Linked DNA regions of Cricetulus griseus. The protein of the gene in region 1 binds, or shares a complex with, the protein of each later gene. Links are inferred from orthologs where the notes say so. Each region holds a gene or a part of one and is shown in the gene's direction. Other genes may lie near its edges.

Region 1 (3,704 bases):
CACACCTGTAAATGATCTAGGCTGCATAGCAACAGGAATCACTGGAAAAGGAACTGGATTGGGAATGAAGTGACTGGGGTTGGGGTATGTCTCCTCTTAGTAATGGTGACCATAGGGAATTCCCAGAACCTTTTTTTCATGTCTATTAGACGAAATCACCTGCCTTGATTACTGTAGGTCTTGGGAGGCAAATGAGAGGAGTTACTCTTTAGGTTGTCTGAGAGTGCTGGTTTGCTGCCCCTAAACACAAGAGCTGGGTAGACCTTATGGGCTTTTCGAGTAGTTGAGAGATGTGTGTTTTAGAGACATGTTTTTAAACTGAGTGAGATGTGGACAAAGCACTGGTGGGGATCTGACTGTTTGTTTTTGTGTTTAGACCACAGTGAAGATGGACATTTCCATCATGATGACCAAGATCCATCTCCTCCTAGGAGAGTTCATCGTGACACTCCAGATCCATCTTCTCCTAGGAGGGCCCATCATGACACCCCAGATCCATCTCCCAGGAGGACCTGTCATGACACCCCGGATCCATCTCCTAGGAGAGCCCATCATGATACCCCAGATCCATCTCCTCCCAGGAGGGCCCATCATGATACACCAGATCCATCTCCCAGGAGGGCCCGTAATGATACACCAGATCCATCTCCCAGGAGGGCCCGTAATGATACCCCAGATCCATCTCCCAGGAAGGCCCGTCATGATACACCAGATCCATCTCCTCCCAGGAGGGCCCGTAATGATACACCAGATCCATCTCCTCCCAGGAGGGCCCGTCATGATACCCCAGATCCATCTCCCCCAAGGAGATCCCGTCATGACTCAGACACATCTCCTCCCAGAAGGGTCCACCATGACTCAGCTACTTCTCCTCCCAGGAAGTCTCATCGTAATTCTTCAAGTGTATCTCCTAGGAGAGGTCATCATGGTTCCTCAGATATCTCTTCCCCAAGAAGGGCCCATAACCACTCTCCTGACACACCCCAACATAGGAGGACTGTTGATCCTTCAGACCCACAGCATCTCAGGAGGCCCCGTCATGACTCCCCTGATTTGGAACTGCCCAGAACCAAAAGCAGTAAAGCTGCAGAAAGATCCTGTAATAAGACTGTACACCAGAGGGGCCAAGAACCCTCTCACCCGTCAGTCTCCAAGAACAGCAAGTACGGGCGTGACTCTGACCTTTCTCCACGGAAATGGCAAGCAAAAGCTCATGTTGGAGCTAAGAAGCAGCTGGATCCTAAAGGTGAGCGTATAGCTGTGTGTAAGAGCTTCATCCCTGAGTATGAGAATGAGTTTCTTTGGAAACATTTTAAAACATGAGAGGCTAGGCTTAGAGTTGAAAAATTACAGGGGCAGGGAGGCAAGTTTTTATGTGCTTTTGCTTACCCTTCCTACCCCATACCCCATAAAAAGGCACTGATGGGGCAGGCGAGGTGGCTCAGTGGGTAAAAGCATTTTCTGTACCAGTGCACTGAAAGGACAAAACTGACTCTGATCTCCATACGTGGGCGCCTGCACTCACATACACACAGAGTAATAATAAATAAAAATGAGAAATCCTGTGTGCGTTGCAAAAGCTTCAGAATGTACAGAAACATATAGACACAGGAAAAGTCTCACAAAATTGTGTCATTTAGACACCATCATTGTTCAAGTTGTAGCCAGTGGCTTTAGGTACTTTCTGGCATACATGCTAGGTGTAGTTGAGCCTGGCTGTGCAAAACATGCATGTTGCATGTGTAATCTTGCTTGCCCCTTCCACTCAATAGTTTTTCCTGGGTTATAGGTGTCTTTATGTTATTATGATTTTTTTTTTTTTTAAAAACCTCTTTATGTTACATGAATTGACTTAGCCATTTCCCTGAGATTGCATGCTTTGGATTACTTCTAGCTTTGCTCTTAGGATATTTGACAACCATCCTGTTGGAACAACTATGGGTTGTTTCTTATCTTAGATCTTTTGGGGATTTAGTTGATAGGTTCCTAGAAAGCTGAGCAGTTGTTTGCTAGGTCAGAATGTTTGGCCATTGCTGTAACCTTGGTAACTACTACAGGGCTGCTTTTCAGTAAGTGAACAGTGACACAGTTATCTAGAACAGGCCTATGCAGAAAGTTTCTTACTCCTTCATTTGCCCTAGCTGCTGTTTTAATTTTAAAATTAAATTACTTTGTTTTTCTTGAGTCTGAGAACATCCAGGCTTTCTTGTCTCTGCCATACCGCAGAGGACTGACTCCAAGCTCTTCTGCTGGTTCTGGACAGGTTGGCAGTATAGATGAGTGTCTGAAATCTCACATGCTTTTCAAAGTCACCAGACACTGGTGGCCCAGAAACAGAGCCACTGACTTTGTTCTTCTCCATGTCACCTATGCTTGTGTTTTGGTTAGTTATGTTTTTTTCATAGGATGACTAAGTAGACACTGTACCCCAGTTTGGTAAGTTCTTATAAACATTCTTCTGATGGGGTTAATTTATTCTCCCTCCCTCTCCCCTGTGCTGGGAACCAGAACCCGGGCCTGACATACTAGGTTCACTTTACTCCTGAACCATCACAGCTCACATCCTTAATGCATTCTTTAATCCCTAGGTTCTCTTAACCACAGGAGATTTCATATAAACACTTTCCCTGGGAAACAGCAAGTCACACTTTGATGGCTCCTTTCTACCTAGGTGTCTGCCAAAAATCCTCTGATTCAGATCTCTCTCCTCCACGGCAAAAACAAAATTCAGGACACCAGGACTCTGATTCAGATCTGTCACCACCACGGAATAGACAGAGACACCGGAGCGCTGACTCTGACCTCTCTCCGCCCCGGAGAAGACAAAGGACCAAATCTTCTGATTCTGATCTCTCTCCTCCTCGAAGGAGTCCCCGTCCCGGGAAGAAGGTAGGGATTTCCAGGACTTGTGTCTTTATCAGAGTGACTCCTCCCTTCTAGCTTTACAGACACTAAAAAGATTGCCACCAGAGAGTCAGGATGCGGTGCAGTAAATCTGAGTTAAAAGCACTTCTGGAACTTTCTCTCTGAAGGCAGCATGTCTCTGGCTCATCTGAGCAGAGGCTTGAGGATGCCTTGTCCAGATGCTTGAAGGTTCTAAGACTTTACAGATACTGCACAAAATGATGCTCAGAATGTCTTGGATTATGGACTGTTATGGATTTCTAGTTTTGGATCAGGAGTGCCCAGCTTGTGCCAGATTTCCCAGGATGCTCCTGCCTTTTATAGCCTTGTAATGCCACAAGTCTCAGTATCTCCAGAAAGCCTCCCTGTTTTTAATTTTTTGTTGTGAGTGGCTGGCCTTGAACTTCTGACCTGCCTGCGTCTTCCCACCTGATAGGACAGCAGGTCCTAATAATAAGCTGAGGCTGAGTGCAGTTGGGAGCACAGAACCCCAACTATGATTTAAAACCAATTATAGTTTTAAATCCTACTCTGCTGCTTACTATCTGTGAGACTGGGCAAGAAACTTGATTTCTTTAATCCTCAGCTTCCTTCTTTGTGAAATGTGCATAAGTGAGTTCAAGGCCAGCCTGTACTGTATGGGACCCTATCTTTTATGTATTTATTTATTTTGTGAGACAGGGTTTCTTTGTGGCTGGCTGTCATGGAACTAGCTCTGTAGACTGGGCTGGCTTCGACCTTACAGAGATCCACCTGCCTCTGCCTCTGGAGTGCTGGGATTAAAGGCGTGCACCACCTCT
Region 2 (3,527 bases), on another chromosome or scaffold:
CAGCAGCTTTAGATTTCATGTTTCTGGCCCTCATGCTTTTCTAGGACATGTTTTCTTGTTAAACATTGTGTATAACTTTGCATGTATGTACACATATTCATATGTGTTCATGTATAGTTGGAGGCCAGAGGACAGCTTTGGCATCATTCCTCAAGATCTGTCTATTTTTTCCTTTATTTCTTTTTTTTTTCAGACAAAATCTCTCACTTGTCTGGAACTTGTGAGTAGGCTAGGTTGCTTGGTCTGTGAGCTCCAGCTGTCTTCTATCTCTGCTTCCCAGTGCTGGAATTACAAGTGTGTGCTGTCACCCAGATTATGTGGGTTCTTGGGATTAACCTAAGGTCCTTATTCTTACAAGGCTGGTGCTTTACCAATTGTACCAGTTCTCTATCCCTATAGATAATCAATTGTCCTTTAAATCCTAAAATCTTATATACTTTCTTGATGTGCTTTAGGGCAATACTTCTGAGTGTTTTTTTTTTTTAACTTCATGACACATGCAGAACATGAAGAAATTTGCATAGTACCTGTAGTATGTCAAGGGGGCTCTGGGCATAATTGCCCCAGAGGTTTTACCTGCCCTAGACCCCATTTAGCTGCCCTGAGTGCTGTGTATTATTAGTATTAGCTATATATTCTATAACATACCAGTTGAGCATGTTTTCTTTTCTTTTTTTTTCCATTTTTAAAATTAAATTAGGAGCAAGATTGTTTTGCTTGTCAATACCAGTTCCCTCTGCCTCCCCTCCTCCCCTGCCCCCCACTAACACCCTACTTATCCCATACCCTTTCTCCTCCCCAGGGAGGGTGAGGCCTTCCATAGGGCGGTCTTTGGAGTCTGCATATCCTTTAGGATAGGGCCTAGGCCCTCTCCCATGTGTCTAGGCTCAAGGAGTATCCCTCTATGTGGAATGGGCTCCCAAAGTTCATTTCTATGCTAGGGATAAGTACTGATCTACTACAAGAGGCCCCATATATTTCTGAGGCCTCCTCACTGAAACCCACGTTCATGGGGTCTGGATCAGTTCCATGCTGGTTTCCCACCTATCAGTCTGGGAACCAAGAGCTCCCCGTTGTTCAGGTCAGCTGTTTCTGTGGGTTTCACCAGCCTGGACTTGATCCCTTTGCTCATCCCTCCTCCTCTGCAACTGGTTTCCAGTTCAGTTCAGTGTTTAGCTGTGGGTATCTGCTTCTACTTCCATCAGTTGCTAGGTGAAGGCTCTAGGATGGCATATAAGTTAGTCGTCAGTCTCATTATCAGGGGAGGGCATTTAAGGTAGCCTTTCCACTGTTGCTTAGATTGTTAGTTGGTGTCATCCTTGTAAATCTCTGGACATTTCCCAGTTCCTGACTTCTCTTTAAACCTATAATGGCTCCCTCTCTTATGGTATCTCTTATTTGAGCATGTTTTCTTTAATGGTTTCCTTATACAAGGTAATGGATGTGATTCAAACCTTGGTTCTCTGTAGTTTGGTTCAGATAGTTGGATGTGGGGGCTGTCTTTGCTGACACATTTATGGTCTTGCTTAGATCAAAGGAAGAACTATCCGTGTGGACCATGTGTCAAACTACCGGGCTCCTCAGGAATCAGAAGACATGGATGAAGTGACCAGAGAGCTCCAGGAGAAGGGCTGTGGTGCTAAAACACCTCCATCAAGTTCTACTGAGGTGTCTGAAGATGAAGATGTCAAGCCCACCATAAAGCACAAAAAAGGTGGAGTCTTAAAACTCAGTAGAAAATTCTGGGTTTCTTAGTGTCTTCTTTTCCAAGCATGCGTAGATAGATAGTCAAGAATTCACTCTCAAGTAGAAAATGGAAGGTGTGAGAATCGTTATTTGGGAAAGCAGAAGTGACTGAGGAAGGAAGGCTAGTGGTGTAGGCAGAATTGTATCTCCCTAAATTTATATGTTGTCATCCCAACCCTTCTGTATCTCAAAATGAGATTGTATTTGGAGATACAGTACTTCTGTGTGGGGATGTTTTGTACAGCTTGACCTATAAGGAGTGACAGGTGTGCAATTCGATTCTTGAAGTCATTTTCTGGGTGGCATAAACTGTGACTGCTTCTTGTTGCTACCTGGGATGTTTTTCACAAACACATTCTCCATCTGCTTGCATGGGAACATTTTGAAACGTCTCAGTTTTATGTGATTTACTGAGAGAAGAAAGGCACATTTTAAAGAGATTTCTTTGTGTTTTCTTTTCCCTATTGATTACCTCCCAGACAAAAAAGAGAAAAAGAAAAAAAAGAAAGAAAAAGAGAAGATGGAGCACAAGGTACAAGCAGAGCCGCCATCCTGTTCTTTGCCCTCTGGAAGCAGGGCAGTAAAGGAGAAGGATGAAGAGGGCCCAAAGAAGCACAGCAGCAAGACCTCAGAGAAAGCCCAGAAGTCGGAATCCAGAGAGGGGAGGAAGAACCACACAGGCTTTCCTGATATCAGGAGTTCCTTCCATGGTAGAGCAGAGGCCCCCAAGTGGGAGCCAAAGAAAGAGAAACCCAAGCATGAGCATAAGTCCTCGAGCAGGAGGGAGGGAGAAGAAAAGAGCAGAGGTAAGGATAGAGGGAGGAGCTCAGGTACTCATACCAGCAGGCATGGCGGGCATTCTGAAGGGCGGAGCCATAGAAGTCGAAGTAGGAGCCATAGAAGTCGGAGTAGGAGCCATAGAAGTCGGAGTAGGAGTCGTAGGAGTCGTAGAAGTCGGAGTCGTAGGAGTCGGAGTCGTAGGAGTCGGAGTCTGGATAAGTCCTATAGGCATAAAAAGCACAGGCAGTCCCGGGAGCGGGAGTCCTACCATGCCAGTTACCGTCGACATTATTGAAGTCTGTGCCAGCTGACCAGTTCTTCAAAATTGATTCTTTTTGCATTAAATAATCAAATTCTCTTTGTTGTTGTTATTTCTATATATAAAGTTTTGGGGCTGAATTCTTTCAATCCCTTACATGACAGAGTTGTTCAGAAGGCTATCGTTTCTATAGCCAGTGTGTTAGATTTAAAAAAACAAAACAAACATGATGCACTGTCCCTGGGAAAATAGTTGGTACTGACCAGAGTATATGCCTAAAGTTTGGTTCATAGATTTGGCCCTTAAACCTATAGACCTTTGATTTGAGATTGCTGGGAAAGGCAAACACAAGGCAGTGGTGGAGTTCTAGTCTTCATGTTAGACATTTAGAGTCCAGCTCTGTAGGTCCTTACCAGATGGCAGGTACAACTATAGAAAGCTGCAGCATATGAGATTTGGAGAGTGTAATATGGATATGATAGGGAAGTGCTCGATTTCTCAGCTATATCCCGGTTCCTTTTATTTTGTTCTTGGTTCTTGATGGTTACATATATCTATGTATTTTTTCTTTATAAGTTATTTATTTGTATTGAGATAAAATTCATATAAAATAAAATTAACTGTTTTAAGCAATTCAGTGGCATTTTGTCCATTCATTGTTGGAATAAAACCATTTTCATGTAGTTCTTAATCGTTCATACCTTTCTCTATTTTCCATGTCAACCATAAATAGGCTTTTGTT
Region 3 (3,704 bases), about 86 Mb from region 1:
TTCTGCTTCTGGACAAGGCTCTGTGGCTGACCACTGACTCTGCTCTTCTGTTCCAGGTGGAGAGTCCTACTGGGGCAAGCCTTTCAAAGATGAGTTCCGCCCCAACCTCTCACATACAGGCCGTGGAGTGCTCAGCATGGCCAACTCGGGGCCCAACACCAACAAGTCTCAGTTGTGAGTCCAGCTTTTCTTGCTCAGCTGCTAGGATGGTTTGCAAAGCGCCTGGCGTTGTCCCTAAAGGTTGTGCTGGGCCCAAGTCAAATCCAAGCAAGGGGGTGTTCAGTCAGGTGGAGCACAGGCGTCTCCAGGAAAGGAGCCCAAGTCAGCTGGTAGAATAGTGGTCATGAGTGGGTTCCCAAAGGCCTCTTGGGGTCCAACAGGAAAACCAGGAGTGTGTGGGTACCAGGTGCCATGCAAGGTTGCTGGTCCAGTGCTTTGGGAGGAGGTATTCTGAGGACAAAAGGCCAGGAAGAGGTACTAAGGCTCTGGCTTATCAGAGCCCAGTGTGTGTGGTGGTGGGTGGTAAGGCTCTTGGATGTCTGGTCTTGTGTTTTGGAATAGGTTTGTATTGTATTCTATTCTTCATCAAATCTTAATCAAATAATGTGGCTTAATTCTCCTGGATATGTCTTTTTTTTTTTCTTTTTTGTGCTGGGGTGTGAACCCAAGGCTTTGTGCATGCTAAATACATGTTCTACCATTGAGAACTGTCTCCATCCAGGGTATATCTTTTATCTATGGAGTATAGTTTTGTTATTTTCTTTTTTAAAAAATATTTTGAAACCGGTTCTCATTATGTAGTCCTGGTTCTTGTGGAACTCACTGTGTACACCAGGCTGGTTTCTGCCTGTCTCTGTATACTGGGTGCTGTGTTTAAAAACTTTCACCATCAGGACTGGAAAGATAGCTCAGTGGTTAAGAGCACTGGCTGTTCTTCCAGAGGATGTGGATTCAATTCCCAGCACCCACATGGCAGCTCACTACTTTCTATAACTCCAGTTCCAGGGAATCTGACACCCTCACACAGACAATGCACATAAAATAATAATAAAAAAAAATCTTTAAAAAATGTTCTGTCCATTTCTTCTTTAACTATCTTGTTTATGAAAGGTATCTTTAAAGGTGGCTATCATTTAAAAAAAGACAAAACCATGCCCCATCACAGCTGATTACAGCTTATTTTATGTGAGGGTATTCATGCCACAGTGTGCGTGTGGAGGTCAGATGACAGCTTTGTAGGGTCAGGACTGTCCTTCCACCATGGCATCCAGTCATCACATCCAGGCTGCCAGGCCTAACACAGCAGGTGTCTTCACATGCCAAGCCAGCTTGTCAGCTCAGTTTTGTCATTTTCTTTATGTGGATCTTCTGACTTCCTGGATAATGTTATACAAAGGAATTTTAGTATTTGTTGATTTTTTTTTTTTTTTTTCAAGGCAGGGTTTTTCTGTGTAGCCGTGGCTGTCCTGTAACTCCTCTGTAGACCAGACTGGCCTCAAACTCTCAGAGTCTCCTGCCTCTGCCTCCTGAGTGCTGGGATGAAAGGTGTGGGCCACCATGCCAACTTATATTGATACAAAGTTTCATTATGTAGCCCTGGTTGGTTGTACTAGAACTCTGCCTTGGAGTACTGACATTGCAGGTGTGGGCCATCACACAGCTAGTCAAATCCTCTTTTTTAATTTTTTTAATATGCATTGGTGTCTTGCCTGCTTGTATGTCTGTACGAGGGTATCGGTGTTGGATCTTGAGTTACAGACAGTTGTGAGTTGCCATGTGGGTGCTGGCATTGAATCTGGGTCCTCCAGAAGAGTAGTTAGTGCTCTTTAACTGCTGAGCCAGCTCTCCAGCCCCTACAATCAAATCTTAAAAAAAAAAAAAAATTAAGAAAATTTTTTAGCCAGGCGGTGGTGGCACATGCCTTTTATCCTAGCATCTGGGAGGCAGAGACAGGCGGATCTCTGTGAGTTCAAGGCCAGCCTGGTCTACAGAGTGAGTTCAAGGAAAGGCTCCAAAGCTACACAGAGAAACTCTATCTTGAAAAACAAAACCAAATTTTTTTAATGTGTATGGGTGTTTTGCCTACGTGTATGTCTGTATACTGCATGTAAGTTTGTGCCTGATGCCAGAGGAGGACAGAAGAGGGCCTGGTCCCTGGAACTGAAGTTATAGGTGATTGTGAGTGTAAGTACTGGGAATAGAACTCTTGTCCTGGAAGAGCAGCCAGTGCTTTTAATTGCAGAGTCATTTCTCCTAAGTTTATATGAAGAGTTTCTTTGTAGATTTTTGAACTTATCAGAAGAGGAGACATCTTCAACTTCCCATGTGCACATCAGTCACATTGTCACTGGGTGTTGGAGGTAGGCACATGTGTGTCCTGCTCCAAATGAAATGTGATTTTGTAGTCTAACATTTGTCAGGATAGGTGGCTCTGTTGTCAGAGGTCTAGTTTTTAAATCTGTCTCTAGTCATGTGACTGAGCTGTTGCTGCTTTGTATGGCTAGGAGAGGTGTGCACGTAGAGTCATTTTCTTTTGGCACGGGCTGAGTTTGTACCCTGAAAGAGCTGCGCTCACTTTTGTTTGCTGAGCCCTTTCTCCAGGACATGTGACAGCTTTCCTTTGTCAGCATTTCCTTACAGTCTCTTCAAAAACTTGAACAAAACCTAAATATTCCAGTTGCATTTTTGTTGTTTTTTTACTTGCCTCTTTTTTTTTTTTTCCAGGTTCATTTCATTCTTTTTCTAGCTTCCTTTATTATGTTAGAAATTCAAGAGAGCTAGGTCTGATCAATTCAGTCATCCTTGGTTCCATAGCATAGCCAATGAGCCCTTGTTCCAATGGCAATAACAGGAGTTCAGCTAGTGTGAAGGCTTAGACTGTGCATAGGTGTGGGCTCCATGACTTGCCTGGTGACCTTAGGAGTGCCCTTGCTTGCAGGGTGATGCATCTTCATTACTCACTGAAGGGTCTCTGTGGGCTGTCAGGATGAGGCTTGTGTCCTGTTGTCACAATAGGGCTGAGTTCATGTACCACTTTGTGTAGGGACTGCACTGCAACCCATCCCATAAACTTCCTGCTTTCCATAGTATTTATTTTATTCAGGGATGAGGGCTCACTGTGAGTCCCCACACCACACCCAGCTGTACTTTCCTCCTTTTGTCTGATGTCTTCCAGCGTTCTGCTGTCACCCACTTATAGGCTATAGTCTAGGGCTCCCTCCAGGCTGCACATACATGGCCTGTTTACTTCACCCCTAACCATTGCCTCCTGAAGATAGTTGGATAGCGAGCTCAAGCCTCCACTGTCTCCTGCTTGGCTCTCATGGGATGTTGGCAGCCGAGCTCTGGGATTTCTCCAGAGGTCTGGATTTACTTGGGAAAGGGCAGGTGGCTTCCACTGAGGAGCAGTCGTTGTTACAACTAGAGTATGCTGGGTGGCCCAGCCTGCTGCTTCCCTGACCTCCATGTGCTTTCCCCAGCTTCATCACATTTCGCTCCTGTGCTTACCTGGATAAGAAGCACACTATCTTCGGACGGTAAGAGCAGATGCTGTGCATGTTCGCAGTGCAGTGTGGACCTGGGGATTATCCTCATGCAGTCCCCGGTGAGGACTGTGGGTATTTCTGTGGAGGAAGGTTGGCTCTTCAGGCCTGTGGAGCCAAGGAGAGGAGGCCCAGGCGGCTCTAGCTCCTCTTCCTTCTCAG

Evidence for each region. Proteins that work in one complex are often made in the same cells at the same time.
Region 2: Bud13 (region 1) and Rbmx2 share a complex: the UniProt entries of both Homo sapiens proteins name them as parts of the activated spliceosome. The link is inferred for Cricetulus griseus from reciprocal best matches to the Homo sapiens genes BUD13 and RBMX2.
Region 3: Bud13 (region 1) and Ppil2 share a complex: the UniProt entries of both Homo sapiens proteins name them as parts of the minor spliceosome. The link is inferred for Cricetulus griseus from reciprocal best matches to the Homo sapiens genes BUD13 and PPIL2.

What each region holds. Positions count from the first base shown.
Region 1 is NC_048597.1:158,028,926-158,032,629, forward strand, and holds part of Bud13 (BUD13 homolog), read left to right. Parts: intron 1-376; coding exon 377-1,246; intron 1,247-2,671; coding exon 2,672-2,889; intron 2,890-3,704. UniProt on the Homo sapiens protein: Involved in pre-mRNA splicing as component of the activated spliceosome. As a component of the minor spliceosome, involved in the splicing of U12-type introns in pre-mRNAs.
Region 2 is NC_048604.1:20,785,347-20,788,873, reverse strand, and holds the end of Rbmx2 (RNA-binding motif protein, X-linked 2), read left to right. Parts: intron 1-1,530; coding exon 1,531-1,714; intron 1,715-2,225; coding exon 2,226-2,821; 3' UTR 2,822-2,884; downstream 2,885-3,527. UniProt on the Homo sapiens protein: Involved in pre-mRNA splicing as component of the activated spliceosome. As a component of the minor spliceosome, involved in the splicing of U12-type introns in pre-mRNAs.
Region 3 is NC_048597.1:72,241,776-72,245,479, forward strand, and holds part of Ppil2 (RING-type E3 ubiquitin-protein ligase PPIL2), read left to right. Parts: intron 1-56; coding exon 57-174; intron 175-3,479; coding exon 3,480-3,536; intron 3,537-3,704. UniProt on the Homo sapiens protein: Has a ubiquitin-protein ligase activity acting as an E3 ubiquitin protein ligase or as an ubiquitin-ubiquitin ligase promoting elongation of ubiquitin chains on substrates.